7 linked regions of the Canis lupus familiaris genome follow. The protein of the gene in region 2 interacts with the protein of the main gene of each other region in a biochemical or structural test. Links are inferred from orthologs where the notes say so. Each region holds a gene or a part of one and is shown on either strand. Other genes may lie near its edges. The genes, in order: POLH, UBC, OTUD7B, SMURF2, TNFAIP3, EPN2 and USP24.

What was found.
Region 1: the proteins of UBC (region 2) and POLH form a complex in vitro, tested with the Homo sapiens proteins (5 studies listed by BioGRID and IntAct, with this or other methods). The link is inferred for Canis lupus familiaris from reciprocal best matches to the Homo sapiens genes UBC and POLH.
Region 3: the proteins of UBC (region 2) and OTUD7B form a complex in vitro, tested with the Homo sapiens proteins (12 studies listed by BioGRID, with this or other methods). The link is inferred for Canis lupus familiaris from reciprocal best matches to the Homo sapiens genes UBC and OTUD7B.
Region 4: the proteins of UBC (region 2) and SMURF2 form a complex in vitro, tested with the Homo sapiens proteins (6 studies listed by BioGRID, with this or other methods). The link is inferred for Canis lupus familiaris from reciprocal best matches to the Homo sapiens genes UBC and SMURF2.
Region 5: the proteins of UBC (region 2) and TNFAIP3 form a complex in vitro, tested with the Homo sapiens proteins (13 studies listed by BioGRID, with this or other methods). The link is inferred for Canis lupus familiaris from reciprocal best matches to the Homo sapiens genes UBC and TNFAIP3.
Region 6: the proteins of UBC (region 2) and EPN2 form a complex in vitro, tested with the Homo sapiens proteins (4 studies listed by BioGRID). The link is inferred for Canis lupus familiaris from reciprocal best matches to the Homo sapiens genes UBC and EPN2.
Region 7: the proteins of UBC (region 2) and USP24 form a complex in vitro, tested with the Homo sapiens proteins (4 studies listed by BioGRID). The link is inferred for Canis lupus familiaris from reciprocal best matches to the Homo sapiens genes UBC and USP24.

The regions. Positions count from the first base shown.
Region 1 is NC_049233.1:12,222,769-12,227,196, reverse strand, and holds the start of POLH (DNA polymerase eta), read right to left. Parts: upstream 3,061-4,428; 5' UTR 2,767-3,060; intron 315-2,766; exon of another isoform or gene 180-314; coding exon of another isoform or gene 174-179; intron 1-173. Other genes in the region: XPO5 (exportin-5), read left to right, coding at 3,349-3,453. UniProt on the Homo sapiens protein: DNA polymerase specifically involved in the DNA repair by translesion synthesis (TLS). Due to low processivity on both damaged and normal DNA, cooperates with the heterotetrameric (REV3L, REV7, POLD2 and POLD3) POLZ complex for complete bypass of DNA lesions.
Region 2 is NC_049247.1:5,228,712-5,232,845, forward strand, and holds the start of UBC (polyubiquitin-C), read left to right. Parts: upstream 1-1,334; 5' UTR 1,335-1,493; intron 1,494-2,315; 5' UTR 2,316-2,318; coding exon 2,319-4,134.
Region 3 is NC_049238.1:59,895,982-59,899,966, forward strand, and holds part of OTUD7B (OTU domain-containing protein 7B), read right to left. Parts: intron 3,664-3,985; coding exon 3,436-3,663; intron 1,988-3,435; coding exon 1,886-1,987; intron 1,080-1,885; coding exon 952-1,079; intron 1-951. UniProt on the Homo sapiens protein: Negative regulator of the non-canonical NF-kappa-B pathway that acts by mediating deubiquitination of TRAF3, an inhibitor of the NF-kappa-B pathway, thereby acting as a negative regulator of B-cell responses.
Region 4 is NC_049230.1:14,565,331-14,569,315, reverse strand, and holds part of SMURF2 (E3 ubiquitin-protein ligase SMURF2), read right to left. Parts: intron 3,323-3,985; coding exon 3,185-3,322; intron 217-3,184; coding exon 96-216; intron 1-95. UniProt on the Homo sapiens protein: E3 ubiquitin-protein ligase which accepts ubiquitin from an E2 ubiquitin-conjugating enzyme in the form of a thioester and then directly transfers the ubiquitin to targeted substrates.
Region 5 is NC_049222.1:30,494,448-30,497,895, reverse strand, and holds part of TNFAIP3 (tumor necrosis factor alpha-induced protein 3), read right to left. Parts: intron 2,827-3,448; coding exon 1,907-2,826; intron 1,285-1,906; coding exon 1,088-1,284; intron 174-1,087; coding exon 1-173. UniProt on the Homo sapiens protein: Ubiquitin-editing enzyme that contains both ubiquitin ligase and deubiquitinase activities.
Region 6 is NC_049226.1:41,167,995-41,172,636, forward strand, and holds the start of EPN2 (epsin-2), read right to left. Parts: upstream 2,981-4,642; 5' UTR 2,846-2,980; intron 1-2,845. UniProt on the Homo sapiens protein: Plays a role in the formation of clathrin-coated invaginations and endocytosis.
Region 7 is NC_049226.1:54,618,349-54,622,333, forward strand, and holds part of USP24 (ubiquitin carboxyl-terminal hydrolase 24), read left to right. Parts: intron 1-558; coding exon 559-684; intron 685-1,295; coding exon 1,296-1,394; intron 1,395-2,252; coding exon 2,253-2,335; intron 2,336-3,221; coding exon 3,222-3,363; intron 3,364-3,568; coding exon 3,569-3,688; intron 3,689-3,985. UniProt on the Homo sapiens protein: Ubiquitin-specific protease that regulates cell survival in various contexts through modulating the protein stability of some of its substrates including DDB2, MCL1 or TP53.

The sequences.
Region 1 (4,428 bases), on a different chromosome or scaffold from region 2:
CCTGTGACAGTAACTTTCTTGTCATGTCCCCTTCTGCCTATAAAATTCTTTCATTTTGTACAGCTCTCAGGAGTTCCTTTTTGTTAGATGAGATGCTGCCCAATTCACAACCATTGAATAAAGCCAGTAAGATCTTTAAATTTACTGTTTTTTTTTTTTTTTCCCTCCAACAGGCCTAACTTGGGGAACCACCTGCACCACCACCTTCTGAAATAAGACACAACCCTTTAATTAAACTGACTTATTCTCAGGACTAAGGGACTGGTTCCATTGGATATGAAACAACCTAGCAACTCAGAACAGGCTCAAACCTACTTATACCAGATGGCTGAAGATGTTAAAACATTTCACAATATTACCCAAATCCTTGAAGAGATTTCCAGGGCTAGCCAAAAAGTCAAGATCACTGACCTATTTTCATGGCTGGACCCTTTCAAATTTGGGACGATAAGTACAGACTGGATTTCAAACTATAGCCTGTATAATTATTCAACCCTTTTAACATACTAGCTATCCAGGCAGTTGATGTCTTCATCACTGACTCTGGCATCACAGGGTAGATTGTTGTGTAAACTCTCACAGTTGTTCCCCCCATCCCTATTTCATAATGCAGATGCCTGATTTAAGCTTGGATTGCTGAGGCATCCACTTCAAAGATGACTATCTTGAATAAACACAGCCATTTGTGTGTGTATATATATATATATATACACACACACACACTATATAAAGACTTTATATAGTGTATATACACTTTATATAAAGACTATATAAAGTGCCAGGCTGCCTCCCCAACCTGAGACTGCTTTGTTTTAGAGTTCTTGGTTGATTTCAATAACTGGCCATTTTTGGGTGCTTGGGCTTTTTGTTTTCCTTTTTCTCTCTTCCTATACTTTAAATTCCTGCTGTTTTTTAATTTAAAATTTTATTTTTAATTTTATTTGAGAGAGAGCATGAGCGGGAGAAGGCAGTCAGGAGGGAAGCGGACAAGAGAGGGAGAAGCGGACTCCCCGCTGTGCAGGGAGTCAGACTCAGGGCTAGATCCCAGAATCCCAATATCATGACCTGAACTGAAGGCAGATATTTAACCGACTGAACACCCAGGTGCCCCTCCTGCTCTTATTTTTTAAATTTACCCACGAAGAGGCACCTGGATGGCTCAGTCAAGTGTTTGCCTTTGCTCAGGTCATGATCCCAGGATCCTGGGACAGTCCCACATCAGGCTCCCTACTCAGCAGAGAGCCTGCTTCTCCTTTTCCCTCTGCTACTACCCCTGCTTGTGCTCTCTTTCTCTGTCAAATAATTAAAATCTAAAATAAATAAATAAGCTCACCCATGAAACTCTTGATGGCCACCCTCAACCCCAGTAAAACCCCCAGCCTGTGCTAGCTTGGTCCCTCACTACCTGTAACCTTGCTGTGTACTCACTGCTGTGTCTTGTGATCTCCAGGGCTTGTAAAGAATAAACTTTTTTTTTTCTTTCAAAGTTTCCTGAAGGTCACTGTTATGGTTTGGACAGAGGAGGTGTCTGTGGGAAGCTCACTGGAGCCCAAGTGAGTGTGCCCCCAAGCATTTCTAACCATGGCATTACCATCGCTAGGCTGAGATAGCACAAAACACACAAATACCAATTAAATTACGATCTCTGGTGGTAGAAGCCAAATATCAATATTACTCAGATGTTATTTAAATTAATTAAAGATAATAGATTGAGCTAGCACAAAACAGGGTGCAACCTGGGCACTGTGATTTTTAAAAGGTCTCCAGGCAATTCTAATATGTAGCAGAGACTGGAAACAATAGACCTCAAGTATATAAGATACTTATGGAAACACCAGTAATTGGTGATTTAAATATGAGACACATAGGTTATACAGTTGAGTAAGCACTCAACTGTACTCTTAAAAAAAAATCACATAAGATTAGTGGAAAGAATACAACAAATTTAAAAATCTGAATAATCAAGGTATTAATTCCTTATAAATTCCACTCACTGAAAACTGGCAGAATGTGTAACTTTAAACATTTGTAAGTTACAACCATAACATGTCAGAAATCACCTCACCATGAAGTGGCTTTTGTGTTGCACTGGAACAGATGGTGATGCCAGAATAAAAATAGTAAACACATTTTCACACACATACACTAAACTTACCAGGGAAGTACCACACGAGATGCAAATGGCAGAAATGGAGTATGAATAGGAAGCAGTGATTTAAGTCCAGCAAACATTTTATTGAGTAAACAAACCCAATATGCAAACTTCAACAGAAAATGAATCTGATGAAGTCTTCAGTTTATGTATTTTGCTGGAGAAAGCAAGAGCTTTTTAAAGATGGAAAAAAATGAAACACACTCGCTGCCAAACCCCCCCCCCTTTTCCGAATAAGGATTACACTGCTCTGAAGTCTTATACGTAGCACTTCAAATGATGCAAACTGCACAAGCCTTCAATAATTGCAATTATTCATCTTCAAATATCTCGACTTATCACCATCTGTACCAAATAAGTTTGGTGCCCGTCAGGCGAGAACACATCTAACGAAAATAAGCACAAGCGAAGAGGGAAGTTTAAGAGCTAGCTAAAATACCACTTTCCCACAAGAAAATTCCTCTCAGGGAACCATACCGGGCCTTTACGTCTCCGTAAGCATGCGTTTGTTTCATCGAATTTTGGCCCAACGTCATCATCAGCCACTGCTACAGCACGAAACCAACAGCCAAGACAACATGAAAAGTCTGCCGAGCGGTTCGAAATTCTCTTACCAATGGGGCAGTCACCTGGAAAAACTGCCAGGCACGGACGCCGGAGATGCCGGGCTCGCTGTCCACTCAAGGAAGACGAAGGCGTCTTGACTATCTGCCCCGTCTCCGGGAGAGGACCAGTCGGCTTCCAGAAACTTATTCCCCGTGATGACGGAGAAACGGACCACGGGTCCCAGACGACCCTGGCTGGGGAAGCCGCCCGCACCGCCCCGCCGGACTAGCCAGGGCTTGCGCGCTCAACAGCCAGCCCTCGGAACTGAGATTAGACAGCGCGCGCGCCGCAAAAGAGCCGTTGGCGCGCCTGCGCACTGCAGCCCTTCCGCTCTCCGCTCCGCCCACCCAGGAGCAACCGTCACACGGGAGCCGCCACTTCCGCGGGCGCGTGCGCAGTGGCGAGTCGGGCGCGTGCGCAGCCCCCGCTCCTTCCAGGCTGGAGCTTCTGCAGCTCACGCTCCTCCTCCCGCTCCCCACCCCCCAGCCCGCCGCGGCCCGGTACCAGCTTGTGGTCCTCCGAAGGGAGCGGTCGGTGCCTCGTGCTCCTGGGACGGCCGTGGTGCGCGCTCGCGGCGCGTGGCACTAGCCATGGCGATGGATCAAGTGAACGCGCTGTGCGAGCAGCTGGTGAAAGCGGTGACGGTCATGATGGACCCCAGCTCCACCCAGCGCTACCGGCTGGAAGCCCTCAAGGTAGAAGGGGTCCGGCGTCCTGGGCCTGCCCCAAGATCCTCCCCTAGCCCCCGCGCCCCCCCCCCCCCCCCGCCCCGCCGCCTGAAGCCCTGCTGGTCTCCCGCCCACGCGGCCCTTGAACCTCCCACTGCAACCCCCGGGGGCCCTTAGCCTTTCCCCTCCTCGCCCTCCGCGCTTCTTCTCACTCGGGCTTTCTCTGCCAGTCGCGCCTGCCCTTTTCTCGGGACCCTCTGGTTCCCTGCTGCTCCTCCTCTCACTACCACTTGCTACTGCCCTCTCTTCTCCTCTCCCCACTTCTCTTTAGTCCTACCCACACCACAGCCCGATGCTTCTATTTTACTACCCCAAGCCCCACGTCCCCTAGCCTTCCCGTGGCGCACGTGCCCGTCACGTACGTCCCCAACACCAGCTACATTCTTTACGGTCTCCCCTGCATTAAACGTTTCCTTGCATCCTCCTGACCCATCCTAGCCGAGCTCCAGCCCCGCTAGTGCCACTTTATTTACATTCTTACCCCTCTCACTAATTCTCTTCTGTGTCTTGGGTTATTTCTGGGCTCATTCTCACACACCCTCCCCCCCACGTTCTTTTACTTGTTCTATTCTCAGGCTATTTTGCGCAAAGATGAACTTCTACCACTTACTTTGCATTTTAACAAGGGCACTTTGGTTTCCTGAAAGTAGTTTTCTTGAGTCCGCATGCTCAGCTCTTGGGACTGACTCTTCTATTGCAGTTTGGGAATGCTAATACAAATTGGGATGGTAATAAATTGCGCACTCATTCCCACATCAAACTACGTGTGTGGATTGTGAGAAATGACCATTAGGAAAAACACTTGTGCACGTTATTTTTTAAAGTTTTTAGTAATTTTAAATGATGTCACATCATTTAAATGTACAGTGAACATCATTTGGAAGGAACTTTACTTTTAACACCATACAGTGTTTGCCACAAGATTTGGAATGAGAAACAGTT
Region 2 (4,134 bases):
AATTTAAATAATACAATATTCATAATTTAAAACAGGAATGAGTCTTTTTTTAACCGCAGAACATTGTTTAGGCAACTTTTCCTATTTGTTTTTTTCTTGAAAGCTTTGAGGGTGAAATGAAAAGATCTTTCCCCCCTCCACACTGAAACAGAGAATAGCTCCAGAAGAGACAGTGGCTGGGGGATTGAGCATGTGAAGGACTTTTCTCTGTAAACTTCCAGAAACTTTTTAAGTTTTCACCATATTCAGGTATTTTATTTTTCAGTCTTTCTCCTTTTATTCAAATGGAATTTTGCCATAGAATTCAATGTAATTAAATTATTTATTAAAGATCTTTATTAAAAAAAAAAAAAGATCTTTATTCATGAGACATCAGAAACAGAGACACAGGCAGAGGGAGAAGCAGGCTCCCTGCGGGGACCTCAACACAGGACTGGATCCCAGGACCCCGGGGTCACGCCCCGAGCCAAAGGCACTCAACCACTGAGTCACCCAGGTGCCCCAAATTTTGTATTTGGGATATTAAATTGTGTCCCCCCCCCCCCCGCCCACGAATGTACAGGCCTGGGATTGGACTTGTGTTTCTGAGACCCCAGGCCTAAGGAAGTTGTACGTCTGAGCTCCACTGAGTGTCCACCAGATGCCTCCGTGTGTGTATCTAGTACAAGGCGGCGTAGGTGGTACAGGAAGGCCAAAGGACATTCTAGAAAGTTCGGTGGACTTCCAGACGCCTCTCGAATAGGTGCGGGCAAAGCGTGCGGGGTTTCTGCGCCCCCTTCTAGCCTTCGGCCGTCCCGCACCCCCTGCTCCCCCGCTGCCCCAGCCCAGCCCGGGCCCACCTCCCGCCCCGCGCCGCGATCTGTCGAGTCATCCGTCCTGTCCGCGCCCGCGCGGGGGGATGGGCGGGCCGCAGGCCCCGGCGCGAGGACCCCTGCGGTCGCGGAGGGGCGAGGGACCACGACGCCCAACCCCTCTCCGCCCAGGGCGGGTCTCGAGAGCCGCGGGGACCGCTGCGGCCGAGGGGAAGGGGTGTCTGGGTCCCGCGGCAGGGGCAGCTCGCCCCGGACGCCCGGCGATTCCGCGCCGGGTTTTCCCGTCTCCCGCGGGCCCTGTTCTCCGCGCTCGCCCCCTCCCCCCTCCCCCCTCGCATCCGGCGCCGGCCACGTCCGCGGACGCAGCACTCAACGGGCGCGCTGATCCCTCCGCGCGGGCGCTCGGGACCGCGGCCCTCTCCTCGCCAGATTCAGCCCTACAGCCCAGCCTTGACAGGTCGACGTTTCCGGGGGCTCCTAGAAGATTCTGGGGCAGTGGTTTTCTCCCTGGAGGCCAGGAAGACGGTGAAAAGTAGTCCCTTCTCGGCGTTTCTGCGCAGGGATCCGCCGGAGCGGCGCGGCCGATTGTTATATAAGGAGGCGCCGGGCGTGGCGCAGGCAGTTCCGTGGAGGCCGGGAGGTCGGTTGTTCGTCTCCGTGCGCTTCTGTCACAGCCGCTTGGTGAGGAGCGGGCCGCTGCGCGGGCCTGGGGGTCTTGGGGCCCTGCAGGGGCGGGGGGCCGGGCAGCCGGCTGCCCGGGGAGTTGCCCGCGGCGCCGGAGCGCGGTTACTCTTGGGGGGGGGGGCGCAGCAAAATGGCGTCCGCTACGGCTCCTGTGCGGGGAGAAGCCGAGGTGCGAGGGGCCGTGAGGAGCCCGGGAGACGGGATGGCTGTGAGCGGGCGAGACGCGCCGAGCCAGTGGGGCCCTGACGGGGCCCTCTGCGCAGTGAGTGGGGGCGGGAAGCCCCTGTGTGCTCCGCGGCCCCGCTGGCGCCACGCTCCGTGTCCGGTCGCGGCGAGTGGGCCCGAAGTGCCGGAGCAGTCCTGCGCCCGTTTGGGGGGAGGGGGCCCGCTCGTCGCGTCGGTCATGTGATGTCATCGCTTTGTCAGCTAACAATCCGGGGTGGGGCCGCGTGTTCCTGTGTGTGGAGCCGGCTTGGGTCAGTCGCGGGGCACAAGGGTTAGGCGGGGCGGGGGAGGGGAGATCCTGCGGATTGTCCGGTCCAGACATCACTGAGGGGGGAGGGGAAGATACGGAAGCCGGCGCCTTCACTTGACCGGTATCCATGCTTTCTCTCCTCCTGGGGCCTGGAACTTGGTTTTGGAGCTTATTTGAGTTTCCAAAACCTGTCCTGTTTCTTCGCCTTAGGTTTTTTGGCGAGGTTTATTTTAGTTCTTGGGTTAGTGTAAAATGACCAGTAACTGTTAGCGTTCTATTCACATGTGAGTGGTCTGTTACACTCCGGATTGTTTTTTTTGTTTTTTTGGGTTTTTTTGTGACAGACAATGCAGATCTTCGTGAAGACTTTGACGGGTAAGACCATCACCCTGGAGGTGGAGCCCAGTGACACCATCGAGAACGTCAAGGCGAAGATCCAGGACAAGGAGGGCATCCCCCCTGACCAGCAGAGGTTGATCTTTGCTGGCAAACAGCTGGAAGATGGGCGCACCCTGTCCGACTACAACATCCAGAAGGAGTCCACTCTGCACCTGGTCCTTCGCCTCAGGGGGGGCATGCAGATCTTCGTGAAGACCTTGACGGGTAAGACCATCACCCTGGAGGTGGAGCCCAGTGACACCATCGAGAACGTCAAGGCGAAGATCCAGGACAAGGAGGGCATCCCCCCTGACCAGCAGAGGTTGATCTTTGCCGGCAAACAGCTGGAAGATGGGCGCACCCTGTCCGACTACAACATCCAGAAGGAGTCCACTCTGCACCTGGTCCTTCGCCTCAGGGGGGGCATGCAGATCTTCGTGAAGACCTTGACGGGTAAGACCATCACCCTGGAGGTGGAGCCCAGTGACACCATCGAGAACGTCAAGGCGAAGATCCAGGACAAGGAGGGCATCCCCCCTGACCAGCAGAGGTTGATCTTTGCCGGCAAACAGCTGGAAGATGGGCGCACCCTGTCCGACTACAACATCCAGAAGGAGTCCACTCTGCACCTGGTCCTTCGCCTCAGGGGGGGCATGCAGATCTTCGTGAAGACTTTGACGGGTAAGACCATCACCCTGGAGGTGGAGCCCAGTGACACCATCGAGAACGTCAAGGCGAAGATCCAGGACAAGGAGGGCATCCCCCCTGACCAGCAGAGGTTGATCTTTGCCGGCAAACAGCTGGAAGATGGGCGCACCCTGTCCGACTACAACATCCAGAAGGAGTCCACTCTGCACCTGGTCCTTCGCCTCAGGGGGGGCATGCAGATCTTCGTGAAGACCTTGACGGGTAAGACCATCACCCTGGAGGTGGAGCCCAGTGACACCATCGAGAACGTCAAGGCGAAGATCCAGGACAAGGAGGGCATCCCCCCTGACCAGCAGAGGTTGATCTTTGCTGGCAAACAGCTGGAAGATGGGCGCACCCTGTCCGACTACAACATCCAGAAGGAGTCCACTCTGCACCTGGTCCTTCGCCTCAGGGGGGGCATGCAGATCTTCGTGAAGACCTTGACGGGTAAGACCATCACCCTGGAGGTGGAGCCCAGTGACACCATCGAGAACGTCAAGGCGAAGATCCAGGACAAGGAGGGCATCCCCCCTGACCAGCAGAGGTTGATCTTTGCCGGCAAACAGCTGGAAGATGGGCGCACCCTGTCCGACTACAACATCCAGAAGGAGTCCACTCTGCACCTGGTCCTTCGCCTCAGGGGGGGCATGCAGATCTTCGTGAAGACTTTGACGGGTAAGACCATCACCCTGGAGGTGGAGCCCAGTGACACCATCGAGAACGTCAAGGCGAAGATCCAGGACAAGGAGGGCATCCCCCCTGACCAGCAGAGGTTGATCTTTGCCGGCAAACAGCTGGAAGATGGGCGCACCCTGTCCGACTACAACATCCAGAAGGAGTCCACTCTGCACCTGGTCCTTCGCCTCAGGGGGGGCATGCAGATCTTCGTGAAGACCTTGACGGGTAAGACCATCACCCTGGAGGTGGAGCCCAGTGACACCATCGAGAACGTCAAGGCGAAGATCCAGGACAAGGAGGGCATCCCCCCTGACCAGCAGAGGTTGATCTTTGCTGGCAAACAGCTGGAAGATGGGCGCACCCTGTCCGACTACAACATCCAGAAGGAGTCCACTCTGCACCTGGTCCTTCGCCTCA
Region 3 (3,985 bases), on a different chromosome or scaffold from region 2:
CAGCCATATAAATGGCAAAACAAACAAACAGATACACTCAAACAGCGTGTAAGATAAACACAGAAGAGAGAGAGAGAACTAGGGGAAAAGGGAAGAGGGAGACTTGTTATCTTTGTGTAAGTGTACAGTGTCATCATTACAGTTAGGGTTCAGCCAACTCTTTTACTGCCCCGTCATAACTGCCTGACAGTAAATCTTTGAGGCTTTGTGGGCCATATGTAACTACTCTATCCTGCTGCTGTTCTGTTTTACACAAGGAAAGCACTTAACATAAAGCAAACATATATAAATGAATGTGCAGGGCTGTGTTCCAATGAAACTTTTTTTTTTTTTTAACTGTTACTGAGATTTGTCTCACAGGTCATAGTTAGCTTTCAACCCCAGTTATGGGGATGGAAAGTACAAACAGCCATTGTTACGTTCTTATACAAAAGCAGTCTTAACACCTGCTAAGGCCCTGAGAAGTATCATTCAAACTCAATTTAATAGGCATGTTTTTAAAATTTTTAAACAAACCGAGTGTATGAAAAACAAGTATTACATATAGCCAACAAAATTTTTAAGCATTTACATTCCTATAAGGGTTGAAAACATAAGTCCTTAAAAATTGGTTTAGCTTTATTATTATAAGCAAAAAAGCTCCAAACAATACAAAAATCCTGTGGACTTGTCCTATCTTATTTTGCAAAAGATTACTACTGAAGACTTAATGAGTGTCCATCAGGTGAGAAGCATGTTAGTTACCTCCTCCATGATTCTCAGCTTCCCCATGCTAGTTCTCATGATTATCTCAGAAAGGCACAGGCCCGTGGTGTCTTTTGTATTGTCTACAATTTCCAGGATTCCAAAGGGAGTACCACTGATCAGGCACCAGGAGACATGGCCTACTGGCACACACTGAGCATTCACCATAGCCAACTCTAAGAACAAGGTGTTCCCAAACTCCCTCACCTCTTTATTCTGCTGTGTTTGTTGCCACCTCCAGCGCCGTTTTAATGCTTCCTTCTCGGCTCCTTTCTCCATCAGCGCATACAAAGCTTTCCGTAGCATCAAGTCCCGATCATGGAAACCCCACATGCCTGCAGCAAGAAAACATACCAATAGGACACCTTACCTTGACTTACCTTTACTAATTATGATGCATATGTCCTAGCATGAAGGAAATCAGGCTGAAGGCCAGATTCAAAGAAACTCCTGTGACTCAGGGGAGAGGTACTTAACCATGACAGAAAATGTGTTCCTACTCTGGAGGTTCAGATACTTTGAGAACTTACAAGTGGGAGATATACCACATCCTACAAACTCCTGACAGAAAGTTCCTTACTCATGACACAAGTCTAACAAACTAAAATACATGGTGGCAGTATAGAAGATGGGTCTGGCACATGGCAATCACCATCAAAGCTGGAGGGATGGTTGGAAAATGAGGACTTTTTTAAAATCTAAGGCAAAAAACATATTGAATTATAAATAAGTTTTATAATTAAACAAATCTCACAAAAACCAATGAAAGCATATCTTTTTTATACAGCAAAAGAATAAATATGAAGTATAATGATAGACACACATAGCTCTACCCTGCTTACATACTTGCTGCTCACTACTTCTGGGGGTAGCTCTCAGAGTGGGACCCACACTAAAGCATGTGTTCTCCATATGCTCTCTGAACAAGACTGAAAAACCAGGGCAGGGCTCTCTTCCATCTCTTGCATCGCATGCCCATACCCATGCGCGCACGCAGACACACACACAAACACAGACACACACATACACACTATGCCATCATTTCTGCCTAAGATCAAGGTTAGCGGATTAAGTCCTGCACATGAGATTTAATTCCATTGCTTCCTTTCTGAGGGTACGGAACACCATTTTCAAAACTTACCTAGAGAGGCTGCATGCAGGAGGCAGTTTCCATCCCCAGTAGTTGCCAAAGGAAGCAGCCTCTGGCAGGTAGGGTCCACACTCACCCACCAGTTCAAACGCCCTACAGAAACAAGAAAAGGAGAGGAGTAGATTATCCATAAAGTCCTTCCCACTTCTCTAACTCTAAAAAAGACTCCAAACTTGCCTCCTCCAGGAAGCCTACCCAGAATAAAACCATCTCTGTTACTCCTTATATCTTCCTCACTAATGCCTAATGAATCAGAATCTAGAGAGCATGATTGGTTAGATCAGCAGTTCTTACATGGGGACCACTGATCTAACCAATATCCAAGAGGACATTTGGCAGTATCTGGAAATGCTGTTTTGTTGTCACAACTGGAGGAGGGATGCATCTAGTGGGTAGAGACTAGAGAGATTGCTAAACATAATATATCATATCAGGCCGCTTGCACAACCAAATTATCTGGTCCTAAATATCAACAATGCTGAGATTGAGCCACTCTGGATTAGATGATGAGGCCAAGGTCATAGGTGGAAATCTGTGTTGGCTTCTTGGCTGGCTCTGATGTCTTCCCTCTGGTCAGGAGACCAGTAAATAATATAACAATGAAACTCAGCACAAAAACATCATCACTAAAAGAAAAATAACCCAAAGCATGTATTCACAGAGTCACGTAAGTATCATCGCATATATGACTGCGTGGCAACTTGTATGTGATATGACTTTAAAGATATAAGCAACAAGACAAAGCATACGAAACACCTAAGAAAATGAGTCTCAATTCTGTATAGTCATCCCACAATTGCCAATCCGTTATTCATAGGAGAAAAATATTTCATGAATCATGCTTAAAAAGTCTTCTTGAATTACTAAAAAGTTAATAGAAAAAAACTAACCTATAATCTCACTAGCTAGAACCTGCTAACTTTTTAAGAAAGTATTAAATAGATCCACACAGATACTATAGAAGGGTACAAATGAAAAATGAAAGCTTGTTTCCCATGCCCCCAACTCCCAGCCCCCATCTTTCTTCCAAGGAATTTTAATACCTGACTAGCTTTTTCCATAATTTCCAGCAGCCTCACCCCACTATGTTAACCAATTTTAACAGTAATTTAAGACAAACACAATTGTAAAGGTAAATATATCTTCAGAGAAAGGCTCATATAAACAAATGGCACTTTTAAATTAATCACCGGTGTACATCAGCTATAATATTGGTATTTTCTGATCACAAACATGTTCCAGAGCCAATTTTGATTCATTCGTATTTTCTTCCCCATGTATGGATTTTTAGGTATGGATTCCTGGGCCTTTCATGTGCATATCTGGTTTGCCTTCCACCAAATAGAAATTTCCAGGAGAAAGTATTTAATTTATGTCCTGAAAAGAAGCACCTAACTCAGTATATGTGTTGATCTGACTGACACTTGCAGTCAGATCCCACACTTAGATTGGGAGCTACTGGTTAAGGCCAGGCCCTCCACGTGGCTGCCTACAGGTAAAGAGCAGAGGGAAGAACCTGGGGAAAAGCAGCATTCACTGACCTGCCTGTTCCAAGGCAACCAGCATGGACTGTTCAATAAGGTCTCTCTCTATGAAGCTGCGGAAGTCTTCATTGTACACAGTGAGATCTGGAAGCTGGAAGGCACAGATGGGCATTTCCAGGGGGTGCTCACTGCTCCCCCCACCCCCACCATTGGAGGAGACATGGGACCGGGCCAGGGAAACAATGCTGGAGCTGGCGTGGGAGATGCCCCTAGACAGGCGTTTTTCTGCAATGAGAAACGGAGTTACCTTAGAACATACACAGCCCAAAGAACATCCCACTCATGTGGTGATGATTACCTAACAAGGGTTACCTCTTTCAGTCAGGGAAAACCTATAAGTCCAACTGGCTACCAAATTTCCCAACCCGCTTTCTCAAACCAAATACAATTGGAGAAATATAGAAAGTAGCATTTTTTTAAGCACTTATATTGGCACCAAATATACATTCCTCTTTCTACCTTTTTTAAGAGAATTTGCCTGAACTTCTCCCCATGACTCTGTCTTCTTTTATTTCCATTTCCCAACATAATAGGGACTCATTCATTT
Region 4 (3,985 bases), on a different chromosome or scaffold from region 2:
CACCAGCAATATGACTTTCCTCTAAAACGCAGTTAACAGAAAATTCCCAACCTTCCCTGTGACACTAAATGATGTCATGACATTAACATACTGACCTCTAACTCCTTCTCATCAAATGTCTTCAGCAGATGCTGTGGAATTACTTCATTAAATCCTTTCTGCAGAGCCAGGAATTGCGCCTCAATGCCTCGTAAAAATCTCCAGTTCACATAGAGCCTGTAAACATTGGGCAGGGATTTCACACAATCAAATAGATTCAGATTTGGTGACTATTACGAATCTCTACTTGAGCAACAGTACACCTTGTGAGCACCTAGCATTAAGAGTTTAGTCTAGAGTCTAGGCTGCCTGGGGGGCTCAGTCAGTTTGGGGTGCAGCTCTTGGTTTCTGCCCAGGTCCTAATCTCATAGGTCATGAGATCAGGCTCCACATCAGGCCCTGCACTCAGCTCAGAGTCTGCTTGTGATTCTCTCCCTCTTCCTCTCCTCCCCACCACCCACACCAGCCACTCTGCAACCCCCAACCCTGCTCTCTCCCTCTCAAACAAATAAGTAAAATCTTTAAAAAAAAATTAATCTACAGTCTAAAGGAATCTCAGATTCCTGAGGGTACTGGACCTGGACCTGAGAGATAGTTCATTATAAATGAAAAAGTGGAAACCTTCCACTAACAAAAGCAGCATAAATAAAGCAACTCTGCAAATCAGAGAAACTCCTAGTACACTGGAAGGCAGCTAGAAATTAGTTGGGTCTGAAGTTAAAATCTGTACGAAACGTCTTTCTGAACTTTTAGCATACATGCCACCAATCAGAAAGAAAGAGGCCATTCAACCAAAACAGACTATTTTTATGGTTGCACTTCAAAGTATTATCTGAATGTGTGGGGTATTTTGTTTATATTTTGCGGGTGGTATGTAGGGAAAGAGGAAGTAAAGACACTCTTTAAATCCAAAATGAGAACAGTAAAAGCCAATAGTAAACACTTTTTGATTAAATACTCATTGTTCCCTGGAGGCCTTAAAAAAAACTGGAAGATCTAAAAAAAAAAAAAAAAAAAAAACTAGAAGATCTAATTCTACCAACAAAAAGTATACCAGACTACATCTAACATGTAGCTTTACTTATATTTTTGACTTGGACTTATAACCAAATTGCCTTTTAAAAAAATCTATCTACCTGGGAAAACTCCTCCATCTCAAAAATCTCAGAACTATTCACCTTCCAAATATGTCAACATTTCTACTTCCAAACCTAGGGAAACAATTCTCTATTTTAAGAAGCTACTTAAGATTAGATCCTTTGGTGGACCTCATTTTTATTTAAGAGGACAGCAAAATTGTGCATCTACAAAAGTTTTTCTAATTTTTTTCTGTCAAAACTGTATCTGGTAGGAGATATGACTTTGTGCAAAAACATGCTTGAGTCCCAGCAAGTGGGGTCTAAGAACTCAGCAGTCCATGCTAGATCCCAAAGTGACACACTACTGAATGACATTCAGGAAATTCCCATCCATTCTTTTATTCGCCAATTAGAAATGTAATAACATGCACGTTTTCTATGTAAAGAAAAATCAAACAGTAAATGTAGAGACAGAATAAAAACTGAAAGCCCATTCTATTACCCTCCCCTCCCTGTCTGCATCCAGGTCCTGCACTCACACTCCCTCATCCTAGCCAAACACCTTATTGGTATGTAGTCTTCCTGGACATCTTCCGAATAATTATAAAATAACACAGACTTTGTTTCCCATAATGTCTAAAACTTGCCTTAAAAAAAAAAAAAGCGTATCTACTTATTTTAAGTAATTTCTATACCCAATCTGTAGCTCAAACTCATGACCCTGAGATCAAGAATCACATGTTCTTCCAACTGAGCCAGCCAGGTGCCCCTAAAACTTGCTTTTTAAATCTAACAACTTATATAGTCTCTTTCTTTTAAACATCCATCCATATAATATTCTGTTGAGTGTATGTATGTATGTAAATTGTTCTCCTCTAATACACTTCATTAGTTTCCAGTTGTTTTTACAAGCAGTATTTAAGTGAACATCCTTATTTATATTTAACTACCATGTGTTTCCACAGAATAGATTCCTAAAAAACAGGGCTGCTGGTTGAAAGGCATGTGCATATTCATTTTGGGAGCTGTTATCAAATTGCTTTCCAAAAAAGCTATTCCAGGGTTCACTCCCATGAACAGTCTGTGAGACTGATGGGCCTCAATGTGTCAACCAGGAAAACTTAAGCCAGTAAGACTTAGAGACATAATCTACACAAAAAGAACAGTGTGCACATTTCTGTGTACATGTGGCAAAGTTCAAACACCTACATTAGATTACCATAGTTTTATGTTTCAAAGAACTTTAGTTCACATAGGCCAAATGATCTAACCCAGTATTTCAAAACTCCTCAATCATCAGGTGATTATATAAAATTTGAAGAACATTTCTTATATTTATCCCTTAAACTCACTATTTATAAACAAAATGACTGCTGGAAACACAGCATGTAGTGTTCTGTACAGCTAGCTGTGGCAGTTCTACTACAACTAGCCCCATGCACCCTGTTTCTTGGTATTCATGCCTTTAAACAGTTCCCCCCACACACGCTGAGCCTGGGCTGGTTTGTGACTCCCTTTAACAGAAGAACATAGCAGAGTTGATCCAGCCAGTTCCAGGCTTAGGCCTTAAAAAGATTTGACAACTTCTGCTTTTGTGCTCTGAGAAACCAGCTGCTCCTAAGAAGTCTGGCTATCTTGCTGGGGAGACAGACACCACGAGGAGAATTCTGAGAGGCCTCAGACTTGACATGGAGATAACCAGGGAGCCTAAACCAACAGTGAGAACAAGATCCCAGATGGTGACCCAGTGACCATTCCAGCCAGCTTCCAGCCACCGTAGCCATCCTAGCTGAGGGCTCAGGTATTTGAATGAAAAGGCCATCCTGGGGTCAGTCCCAGCGAACACCACATGGAGGAGCCCTATGCTATCCCTACTGTTCTCTACCCAAATTACCTGTAGAATTGAGAGATCAAATAAAACAGTGGTTGTTTTTAAAGCCACTAAATTCTGCAGAAGCCTATTTTGTAGCAATAAGCAACACTACCTAAATATATCAGTGTTTTTCTGTATTGTCATTCGAGAGCATTAAAATAATTCTCAGGCTTGAAAACACAGAAGTGTTTACCTGACATATTCTTTTTTATTTTCTTCAGTAACAGGGATACTCTTGCCATTTGGTTTAAGTTCATGCTGAATAATTTCACCATATGCGTTATGTTCGACACAGAAAGTATGGTCCAAAACACCTGTAATATCATTCTCACTAGAAAGGAAAAGAGAGAAAGATATTAAACTGGAAAATCTAAAATATGGATCCTACAGATGTCTTAATTGGTGAGACAAATAAAATTAAGATAGTTTCATGACATCACAAATATAAGATCAGATTCCTTTTGCCAGTCCTTATGCTACCATATATCCTAGTTTTGGGGCAGAAAGGTCAAAAAGCTTTAACCTTCATAAACACAGGAAACATTTCACTTCCTGAGTAATGACAAAGTCCCCTGCCAAAGCTGGGCTTTACATAGGGAAAACTTCAGTTATGTTTGGCTTTTAGGTAAGAAGCCCTATTTGAATCTGGGTACCCCCATGCAACCAAATACCTGAGTGTCCCATGGGAAAGCTACCTGTGTATTTGAAAACTAAGTATGGCCAATGTATATTCTTAAGTAAATGGCCTCTGACAAAACAGAACTGATTCTTCTAGGTATCTTTTTTAAAGTATGGTTTCAACAATCACTACTGCAGCAGGAATTTGCTATTCTCACACATGCAGGATTGGAACAGAACTTCTATCATGTGGAGGAAATCATTATTATGTGGTACCTTTAAAAACAGAAATATACTTGTTCTCCACCCCCCTCTTTAAAATAGTACTTTGGGGCACCGAGGCGGCTCAGTCGGTTAGGTGTCTGCCTTAGGCTCA
Region 5 (3,448 bases), on a different chromosome or scaffold from region 2:
GGAACCGGCTCGCCCCGGTGGACCCCGGCGCCCACTCGCTGGCTGAGGTGCTGGCACTCCATGCAGAGCTCCTCGCTGCGGCAGGCCAGGATGTTCTTGCAGGAGGCCCGGGCACACTTGGGCCTGGAGGCACTCGGGGTGCTTCGAGGAGCGTCTCTGCGCTGGCTGGATCGCTGAGTGGAAAGGGCAGAGAGAGCTGTTGGTCCCATTTTCTCAGGGAGAACACCAGGCAATCCCATTAGCCAGGAAGGGAGCTACAGAGAACTCGATGGGATGGAGAGCATCTGCCTGACCCAGGGAAACCGGAGCGGCACACACAGTCTGAGAATGGGAGCTCTCCAAGGACGCCTCCCCGCCCAGGACCATGAAAGCAGGCCTGGCCCCCGGGAGGCCGAGTACCAGGCCTGGCCCAGTGGCCTGCGAAGCCTGGCCCAGCGGCCTCTGCTTGGATTAGTAATATGCTGCCCTTCTTGTGAACAAAGGGACAGGCGCCCATGAGCCAAAGTTTGCTTTTCTTATGTGCCACTGTGTGGAGGCACTGGGGTTGCTCTGTCTCCTCCTCCTGTCTCGTGACAAAGGATTACTTCAGAAAGCCTGCTGGCCACTCAGATGCCTTTGCTGCTACTAAAGCTCAAGCAGTCTCTGTTCAATGTCTGGCTTTCTGTGGACTTTAAGAGGTTTTATTCTATGGATAACTCGACTTAGTTTTTAAGTCATCTTTTTTTTTTTTTTAAGATTTTATTTATTTATTCATGAGAGACAGAGGCAGAGGGAGAAGCAGGCTGCCTGCGGGGAACCTGATACAGGACATGATCCCAGGACCCTGGGATCATGCCCTGAGCTGAAGGCAGCCGCTCAACCACTGAGCCACCCAGGCGTCCCTCCATTTAATTTTTAAATGAGTTCTAAAGTACACTTAAGCCATGAAAATCAAGAGTAGCTACTGCACTTCCAACCCTGGGGGCCACATGACTTCTCTCCACCCCTGCAATTCTTCCCTGGAACTTGGCTGGGAGGAGAGTCTGATGGTCTGGTCAGAAGCAGGGGCTCCAGCCAGGAGGGCATCCTGGCGGGGCAGGGAAAGTACCTCAAAATGTCTCACCAGTTGCTCTTCGGTCCTTTTCGCTTCATGAAATCTCTGACTCTGAGCTTCAATGAAACACTTCTGACAGTATCCTTCAAACACGGTGCTGCCAACGGTGCCACATTCCCTCCCCAAACACGGAACAGCGTTCTGGAACCTGGGGGCCGTGGGACTGGCTTTTGTTGAGGCAGTGACAAAATCTAAAAGAGAGTTTGGGGCCCATCAGTGTCACATGTGGTCTCCAAGCAGGGAGAGACCTTGCTGTTAAAGAAAAAGACAGGTTCTGGATGCAGCTTAGGGCAGCCTATGCCATGCATCCATGAACACAGCCTTTTATAAATTCAGCCAAATAAAAAATGGTAATAATGTCATCATCAAAACATCTATAACTTTACAGATGTCTCACTTTTGAATGTGCTGCACTGGCCAGGTACAGTAACAGAACATGCAAAGACGTCAACTTCCCATCCCTCTTTCAAGCTAGAGATTGCTAAAACTACCCAGGTTTTCTTACAATGTTGGCAGAGGCTTCCTTCAGTCCAGCTACTGCTCTTTGGATCTTGAATGTTCTCTATCACACCTACGTTTCCAAAGAAGTCCTGTTTAAACTCTACCTTATAAATGCCAGATGCTGCATGACCTCATGACACAAATCCTCTGAACTCTATCTACGAGGTGCTATAGGGTTTTGGAAGGTGGATTTCTGTGGCTTACGTCTCCAGGCAACTGTCCCACTGTGCCCACCACCCAGAGGGGCTGCTTTCTTGCAGCTTCTAGACCAGGGGTTTGAAACGGGGTTAGGAAACTAATCATGTCACTCACGTTTGTTTTCTCTGTACTCGATGAAACACAGCGTGCAGAAGCCTTTGTTTTCTGGAGTCCCAAAATACATGCAGCCGGCTTTTCTGCATTTGCTGGTCCCCGTCCTGTCCCCTGGAGTCCGTGTGGCCTGAGAGAGGCAGCCGGAGGGAGCCTCGGTCCCGGCTCTGCGGCAAGCATGTGGGGAGAGACTCTGGATGAGCTGCGAGGGGTCTGACTTGGACCGCTGGTGACAGGAAGGAGGGACGCTGGAGCTGAGGCCCGAGGAGGGCTCCGCTGTAGTCCTTTTGAAGCACGTACTGCAGATGCCGTTAAATGTCCGGGTGACATCCTGTAAGCAGGCTCGGCACTTCCCAGGGTCTAAGTGCCTCATGCTGTCCGGGCTGTGGCCTGCAGTAAGCTGCCGGGCGTTGTGGCAGCGCTCGCAAAATCCGTTGTGCTGCACGTTCAGTGTGAAGGGGCAGCCGGGACTCCTGCACTTCATCGCGGTGGTCTCGCTGAATAGGAAAAGGCTGGGGGCTGTCGGAGGGGCCGAATGAGGTCCCCCAGCTGGCTCTTCGGGGCTCCAGCCCATGGGCTCATAGGCCTCTCCCCGGGAGGGCCCAAGCACTATGCCCGGGAGCACCTCAGGGCCTGGCTTGGAGTGCAGCCTGGAGGATTTGCTTTGGTTCTTTTGCCGCCTCTCTGAGCATTCGTGGCACAAAGGCTGGGTGTTCACTGACATGAAGAAAGGACAGTTGGGTGTTTCACATTTTACGTCCATGAGAGAAAGCTGGGGAACGGAAGGTTCCAAAGGATTCTGAGCATGCATCTCTCTCCGCTCCTGCTCATTGTTCTCCTGCCACTTCTTGTACTCGTGCTGGACGAGCTCAAAGTAATCATCTACCAGATTTATTTCTTTGGGTAAGTTGGCTTCATCCAGCCTAAAGACCAAAAGGAAAAATATGAGGCTACACACAAACACAGATACACACTACACACACACGATTTCATATCATTAGTTCATAGGGCAAACTTTTAGAATGTGGATTATGGCATTAACTTCACAAGCATTCACTGAAATGCAGGCTCATGATTAAGAGTCTGCGCTTCCAATGTAGCACAGTCCATCTAAGAAGATTTCGTTATTTCGAGAATCAAAATCTTACTTAATCAATCTTGGTCCAACCCAAATTACAGATAATTCTAAAGAAAGGGCTATTCTGGGGATGCCTCCACACTTGATTACTCTATTCCTCTTCTCAAAAGTCACTTTTACCTTTTAACTTCTCTCAAACTTCTATGAAAATATTACATAGGGTATTCATTTGGGATGAGGCTACTTCATAGTCTACTTTGAGAGCTCGTTGCCTCTATTTTGCTGTTATTGATCTTATTGATCTTAAACTTGTGCCTGGTCTGTATCAGCATTAACCACCCCGCACAGTGACTAAGTAGCCGCCACGCTCACAGGTGCTGTCCATGGACTTCTGATCTTCTGTAATGGGCCCGCCTCCGCTTTGAGAAACGGATTCTCCTATCCCTCCATCGTCCCCTCTTGTGTAT
Region 6 (4,642 bases), on a different chromosome or scaffold from region 2:
GATTGCTTGGGGGGTGGCAAGGCTTGGAGAGAAGAGTTAGAGAGGGACTCTGCTGAAATTGGCTGCCAAAGGCTTGACAGAATAGGTCTGTTTAAACGGAACACACGAACAGAAAGTCTGGCAGACAAATGGGGGGGCTGGGGAGATCTACAAAATTCCTTCTCTCCCCAACCTCAAGTTCCCCCAATGCAAGCCCTTTTATTTCTGCAAGGCTCGGGGTCACCAGGTACTCCTGCCATCAAGTGACAACCACCACAGTCATCCATGGCCCATCAATCCAACAGGAAGGTTCTGGGGAATAGGAAGAACAAATGCCCGAAAGCTTTACTGCACTTCCCAAGAGTATGAAAAGAGAGCTCCATGCATGAAAATTTCTTGGCACTTTAGCCCACCAAAGACTGAAGTTTACCCTCAACCTAATGAAATCTTTATTTAAAAAAAAAAAAGCCCACTCTTTTAAGTTCAGGAAGAGGCAAGCCACTGAAACAAATCAAAGTCCTAAAAACTCTTCATCTACTTTTTGCAGGACTCTTATCAGAATCCCAACACTTAGGAAAGCCACGCCTTACCATGGAAGCCCAGTTACCTAAGAGGCATCAACTGTGTTTTTCCAAGGGCTTTTTTATGGGTTGGGTTATTTTCTTTCCTTTTTAAGATTTTATTTATTTATTTGACAGAGACAGCACAAGCAGGCAGAGGGAGAGGGAGAAGCAGGCTTCCTGAGGAGCAACGAAAAACAGGACCCTGGGAGCCCAGGACCCTGAGATCATGACCTGAGCCAAAGGCAGACGCTTAACCTGACCGGGCCACTGAGGCACCCCCGGGATGGGTCATTTTCAAGGCTGCATATACCATGCTAAGTATCATCACTTGAAAGTTTTACATTTCCAAACATGTGCCACCGTGTTTGACAAAACGCACCTTGCTGGGAGACAGTTCTCCACCAAACTCCTCATCTGTCAAACTGGAGGTTCAAGGAGGCAAAAAGCCTCCTTGAGAGATCAATATATCCCACAGGACAATCCAAACTTGCTCCTGCTCCAGGGTCTTGTGGGATACAATTCTGAATCACGTCTGACAATAATTTGCACTTTACCCAACTCTTTACTAGCCAGTATTTCATTCAATGCTTACAAAAGAAAAGTCCAGTGGTAACATGACCAACCCAATGTTAAAACTAAAGAAACTACTAAGCTTTAAAAATACAAAAGTAAAAATACAGACAGATAAAAGTTCAGATCTTGGTAGCTTCCCCAACACCATCACTTATCCCAAATACAATCAACTGGAACAAGAACAAGTCAGAAAAAAAAAAGAGTCCCTTCTGATGTTCATTTAAATACAGATGAAAACTTAATTATCAGTGCAAACTCAATCACTGTTGTGCAGGATTCAGTATATGATTTTGCCAGCACCTATCATCTGCTATCTAGAGCTACAAGATGTACATGTTTTCTGCCAAATCTTCATTATCTTACGTAATTGGGAGAGTGGTAATTAAAATTCACCTTTTTCAATCGTTTTAACCTCCTGTTCCAACCTCTCCTTTCACAGGGCTTTTTTGGGAGGAGGCAGAAAAGAAGAACTCATACTTCACATCTTTTCCTGCCCATTATCTTGTGTGAATGTTAAAAATAAGAGGGGGGGAAGGGGTGTTATCCTGAACATCGCTTTTAAAATTCTAAAATGTGCGAAGAGAGCACCCGGGAGACCAAGCTTCTAGTTCTGGCAGTGACACAGTAGCACTGCATGACCTTGGGCAAATCATTGCATCTCTGGACCCCAATGATGGTCAAGCCCGGTCCTCTCGTAAAGCACAGATTTCAGACGCGTCCCCAGGACAAAACAGTGAAGGGACCCCAGGCTGTCGTGCCCCTGGGAGGAGGAATGGGCTTTTCACAGGCCCCTGCAGGGGTTTCTGGGGAGGGCAAGGTGCCCCCACTCCCCACCCCAACCCCTCCCCGCGAAGCCACTGGGCCAACTTCAGGTCGCAAACAAAAACCTGTTGGCACGGACTCCTCTAGGAAGGGCCAGCCTCTGCCAACGCGCTCCGCTCTGGGGGAGCCGCCCCACGGGCAGAGAGAGGAAGGGTCTCCTTGAAGAGGCCGGCCCCCACGCACCCATTCACCCACCCGGATCAGCCGAACGGGACCGCCGGGCGGGGTCTCTGGCATCCCACGCGGAACAAAAGGCAGCTGGAGCCAGGCTCTGCCGCCCCCGTCCCCGCTGTGCCGTGGGGGTCGGGGGTGGGGAGGGAGAACCTGGTCCCCGGGGAGGGAAAGGGGCCCCCAGCTCCAGCCCGAAGGAGAGCGGCGACCGGACGCAATCCTGGACAGCGAGGACCCCTCCCCCGATTCCTGGAGGAAACAGGGGCTGGGCTGTGCACGGGGGCGGCCGGGAGGGAGATCGGGCTCGGCTCGGGAGGAAGGGGGCGCCCGGCCCGACCCGGGGAGGAAAGTGCTCTGGGGAGGAGGGGCGGGGTGGTTCCCGCAGAAAGGTGGAGGATGAGGGCCTGGAGAGGCTCCTGGAGCTGAGCCCCTGACTCCGAGGACGTAAGAGGGAGAGTTCCCCGACAGGGAGATTGGGGGGGGGGGCTCCCTTGAGGCTGAAAGCGGGATCCAGATGGGGAGGGGGCCATGCTCCAACCCGTGGGGCGGAGCCTGGCTGGAAAGGAAAGGGTCCCACCTGAGCTGGGGACCCAGCCCGGGCAGGCTCTGGGGGGTTGGCCGGAGGGCAGCCGCGCAGGGAGGGCGTCCGCGCCCCGGGGAGGGGAGGGTCCGCGCCCGGGGGCCCCGCTCCCGCCCGCCCACCCCCCCGCCCCCGAGGCTCGCGGGCCCCGGCTCACCTCCGCTCCTCCGAGCCTGCCCGGGTACGCGGCTGCGGCCGCGGGTGGCACTGGGGAGGCGGGAGCGACCGAAGCCCGCGGAGCCGCCGCAGCCGCCGCTGCCGCCGCCGCCGCCGCCGCGTCTAGCTCCGTTTGACACCCACACACCAGCCAACATGGCGGCCGGGAGGGGGCGCGCCGGCTGCGTGCGCGCGCCCGCCGGCCCCGCCCCCAGCCCGCCGAGGCCCCGCCCCTCCCCAGGCCCCGCCCCCGCGACCTCCCCCCACAGACCCACGACCCCACTCAGAGCGCCCCGCTTCCCCGCGGTGCCTCGCGACCTGCGCCCGAGTCCTTCGAGCGTCCCCCCAAGCCCCGCACACGCCTCTTGACGACCACCCTCCAACCGCCCACAAACCCTACCAAATACACACCCGAACCCACGCACTCGGCAACTTTCACTCAGACACCCCGTTCCCCGACAAATCCCCCCCCCCCCGTACCCCATACTCCATCTCGCCAGCCTCAGGCGCGCACGCAGAGCCCTCCATCAGCGCTGAAACCCCGTTCTTACCCTCGCCTTGCAATATGCACTTGGAAACATTATTCCAATAGGGGCTCTCCTCCAGAGCTGGGGCCTGGCAGGGGCCAGGGGCTCCTGGGGTGCTGGTCACTTTCGGTGTCTTGAGCTGAGTGCCAGGGTCACGAGTAGTGTTCACTTGTTGAAAATTCACTGATGTACACTATAGATGTGTGCACTTTTGTGTAGATGTGTTCGTACTTCAAAAAAACTCAAAAATGGTTCTGAGAAGGGATGCATCAGCTTTGCTAGACTGCCAAAGGGATCCATATAGGAAAAATGTAAAGCCCTTGGCTCACCGTTATCCTCATAAGAGGAATTTATGGACTCACCCCTTCGCAGGGCCTGACACTCACAAGAGCAACAGGATCCACCCCTTGCATTGGGTTCAACAGGTGCCCATGAGGCTCCTGCAATGTGCCAAGCTCTGTGTGAGGCTCAGAGGGAGACAGAAGACAAAGCTGAAGAGACAGACTTTGGAGAGGTTCCTACCCCAGAAAGGGTGGGATCAGCAGAAACCCCTCACAGCAGAGTCTGGAGTATGGGTCCCAGCTTGCTGGGTTGGCAGTCAGCACCATCCCTGTTGCCTGGATCCAAGGAAGCCCCGGTGACATGGGCATTATGCTTAGCTCTGGTTTCAGGGAAGCTGTGTCCATGAGTCCCATTCTGCCCTCACTTATAAGAGACCTTGGGCAAGTCACAGCACTTCTCTGAGCTTTGTATTTCTCCTCCCTAGGAAGAAGCCCAATGGATGAAGAAAACTCATCTTTGCTGGGCCTTCCTGGGCTTTCTGGGAGAGCAGAGCTTTACATGAAATCATGGCCCATGCCCTCAGTTTGTAACTCTAGATGGATTATGCCAACATGCTGTGGGTGCCCAGTGCAGGCTGGAGTGCTTCCCATAGATTCAATGCTGCCCAATATAACTTCCAATGATGGAAGTGTTCTCTAGCTGTGCCATCCACATGTGAGCGCTTGAGATGTGGCTTAGTGTGACCCAAGGAGCTGAATTTTTAAGACCATATTTAGCTTTTTTTTTTTTTTTTTTGGTAAGATTTTATTTATTCATGAAAGACACAGAGAGAAAGGCAGAGACATAGGCAGAGGGAGAAGCAGGATCCCTGTGGGGACCCTGACATGGGACTCCATCCTAGGACCCCAGGATCACGATCTGAACCAACGGCAGATGCTCAACCACTGAGCCACCCAGGCGTCCTGACTGTATTTAACTTTAATTAATGA
Region 7 (3,985 bases), on a different chromosome or scaffold from region 2:
AGGAGTGCTCACCCCCCAGTGCAGTAAAAAATGGGCATGTAACTTTGGACTGCCCTAAAACTTAACTACTAATAGCCTACTATTGACTGGATAGTCAGAGTTAACTCATATTTTATGTGTTATATGTATGATGTACTCTATTCTTACAATAAAGTAAGCTAGAAAAGAGAAAATACATTTATAGTACTGTACTGTACCCCCCAAAAAATCCATGGATAAATGGACCTGTATGGTTCAAACCCATGTTTAAGGGTGAGCATATACTACAAGTTCATTATATTGCAGTCAGTAGTTTTCAAAATACTCTATATGTATCATGCCATGTTTGTCTCTCAGAGAGATTACTAGTTCCAGTTTTTCATAATCAAATAGAAGCTCAAAGAAATGACTTCATGAGTCCACCAAAAGGAAATACTGAAGCTAAACATACTCAGAGTGTAGCCACATCCAAACATATACAGCATCAGAAAAGCAATGTGGCCAGTACACATACGTATGTCCACGTCGCCTGTGAAGCAGTGAACTCTTTCTAGCTTAATACACCTTGTTTCTGTTTAGTCGTTACTTTCAGTGGATGATGACACGGACAATCCAGACGATAGCGTGTTCTACCAGGTGCAGTCGCTCTTTGGGCATCTGATGGAAAGCAAGCTGCAGTATTATGTACCTGAGAACTTCTGGAAGGTATTTCACCCAATATCTCTTTAGATTTCAAGACGTCAGATATTTGGATCTAGTGGTAATTGTTTCTGTCTTTATTAACTCTAGACTAATCCCATTTCCAGGAACCTACAGAAGAATGGACTCTACCCCATTCTTCTTAAGATTGATGTTCAATTTCAAATGATTACAATATTAAGAATAGTCATTTATAATTTCTAGGGATTTGCTGATCTTAACGATTTTGAGTACTTCTCATGATTCTCATTTTAGCTCTTCAGAATATTTATTCAAAGTATTCCAATTTCACTAATGCTCTAAATAAAGAACATTACTCTGTTTCACGGGAGTACCTTGTATTTTCCCTCGTAGTTCGGATAGTTCTAAGACAGAAACTCTATGTTCTGTGGCCTCAGATCCCACCTGGTATGGTCTCCCAGACTTGTGATGGTTACACAGGGGCCAGGGACAAGCATAGGTAGCTGAACTCAAGCTTGTCTCATTTCAATAAAAATGTCTACTGCCCTAATAATGACCCTGGTTTTTAGAAGCATTTAAGTGCTCTTTCACATTTGTGTTCTTCTATATTCAGAAATTGCTACTTTTCATTTAACAATATATTTCTTATTGCATAGATTTTCAAGATGTGGAACAAAGAGCTTTATGTGCGAGAACAGCAAGATGCATATGAATTCTTCACTAGTCTTATTGATCAGATGGACGAATATCTCAAGGTAGAAGAAAATGTCACTTTCTCTCTGGACTCCCTCAAACTGTAATACGAGTGGAGTGTGGCAGGATTTGGGATTACTGTGAAACCGACAAATCAGAATCTGGTCATCTTTAATACCACAGCCATAATTCATTTCTTCTGGTGGGGTTTGAACATCAAAACAGACACAGATCACTACAATTATGGACTTCTTAATTCACCCAACATTTGATGGGAGTCTGTAGTTCCTAACCTGTGCTTCATACTCACCATCTGCATCTCATGCTCTTATTGTGGGTGCACTGAGGTAGCCTGGCCTCAGGACTGCTGCCCTGGCAGGGAACCTGACAGCCTGTGCATGTGCATGGCAGTCTGACTGCCAGAGAGGCTAGCTTACCAACCTAAAGTTTCCTGCCCCTACCTTGCATGACATGTGACAGATCCTAAGTGATGCTGCCTCCTAATTACAGGGCACCTCCCATCACTATCCTTATCTGCCCCTCCTCTCCTTAGGAGGCCAAGTTATTTCCTTGTTCAGAAAACTCACGATCATAGCATTTTATCCACAAGAAAGGAGAAAAGATTGTGGAGAGTTGCTTCTAACCTGGTCATTGTCGCATGGGAAGAAGGATTCGGAATCATCACTGAGTGCTGTTTTTGTCACCAGCTGCCATTGGCCTCTTCTCCTCTTCCTTTGCCAGTGGAGCCAGTGGGTTCTAATCCTCCCATTCAATCCCAGCTTAAACTATCACCATGACTCAGTGTATTTTAGCTGTTAAGTTCAAATTTGCACTTTAGCTTAGGTCTAAATAAAATTCTATATAAGTGACCTGCAAATTCTCAGGGCATCAACTAAAATTCTAACATTTTATTCCAACAGAAAATGGGGAGAGACCAAATTTTTAAGAATACTTTCCAGGGCATCTATTCTGATCAGAAGATCTGTAAAGACTGTCCTCACAGGTAAGTGAAGATATCATTGACATCAAAACTGACCCTCTTCAGTTTTTTTTTTTTTTCCTCTTAATTGGTAGTACTTTGTTCATTAATTTTCATCCATATTTTACTTGACTAAAGTGACAGTAGATAAAAATCTGAGCTATTATCTTTTTAATAGTATTTTTATTCCAAAAGCTACTATAACAGTTTATTGATATATTTGGTTTCAGCCAAGTTCTAGAATATTCAGATTCATGAGCATCACCATGCTTAATATTTTTTTTTACCCTACTTAGTATAATGTAAATCATGATGCAAGCAGAAGCTTTCCTATATAAAAAAAAAAAAAAAAGAAGAAGAAGAAGCTTTCCTATAGAGCTTTAAGAGTACTTTAAGTTTCATATGTAAACACATGGATTTCCATTGGAAGTCATAAATCTTCAAACAAAATTACGTATTCTCAGAGTTATCCTAATACAGATATCAAACTTGGAAGAAATATTTTTGCAGTAGGAAAAGGATTCAGTACTAAGGTGAAAACATGGAAGTTGCCATTTGGCTACAGTAGACTGTACATGATCATCCTTTTTAAATACTTCTAGCATGTCATGAATCGTGCATTGTTGTAAGACTTGCAGATCTCTCTCTTCAGTGGACCTATAAATGTTTATTGAATTAAGTTTCTCTGGTTTCTATATCTAAAATTTCTTTGCTGAAATTCATAACTTTAAGTCATTTCTAGTTAACAAAAATTGGCATTTTTATTTGGCAGTGTAATTTTAAAAGGATGAGGGACAGCATTGGTTAATTTCAGAATTTCAGAATGTAGTTCTGTGTAGACTCTCGTATTGTGGTAGTTTCAAGATCTTTAAATTCTACTGTTTGTTTTTCCTGTGATTTTCCTAATCAGATACGAGCGTGAGGAAGCTTTCATGGCTCTCAATCTTGGAGTTACTTCTTGTCAGAGCTTGGAAATTTCTTTGGATCAGTTTGTTAGAGGAGAAGTTCTAGAAGGAAGTAATGCATATTACTGTGAAAAGTGTAAAGAAAAGGTACCACATTTCCCTTTTTTAGAAAACAATTGATTTGTTATTCATTTGTGTTTTATGTAAGGGCAATATTAAGCTCCTATTGTTGCTAAGTTGCATCATTACCTGTTTTTGCATGGGCAGGAGAGGCCTATGAAATCTCTGATCTTTGTATGATTTTGCTGTTTTATTTCCTCCATGAAAATAATTGGGTTTTGCTTTTCTTTAGAGAATAACCGTGAAAAGGACCTGCATTAAGTCTTTACCTAGCGTCTTGGTAATTCACCTAATGAGATTTGGATTTGACTGGGAGAGTGGACGCTCCATTAAATATGATGAACAGATAAGGGTAACTTATGTTTTCCCCCTGAAATGTCTTAAAATGATGACCTCACTTTCTTTTCTGCTGTTTATTTTTACATGTTTAACTTTGGCCTCCACTGTGAAAGACTGTCATCTCAGCATTTGGAGAAGTACACAGCCCCTTGTCTTAAGCAGCTGCCACCAGTAGACAGGCAGACATGTAAACACCCCTCCTATGTAGAAGTCATCCTGGTAATGGTGGAGAGGCAGTCCTAGCTGGAATTAGGAATACATATCTCTTATTTGAATCTGACTTCATGGGGCGTTGCTATATATGTGCCTC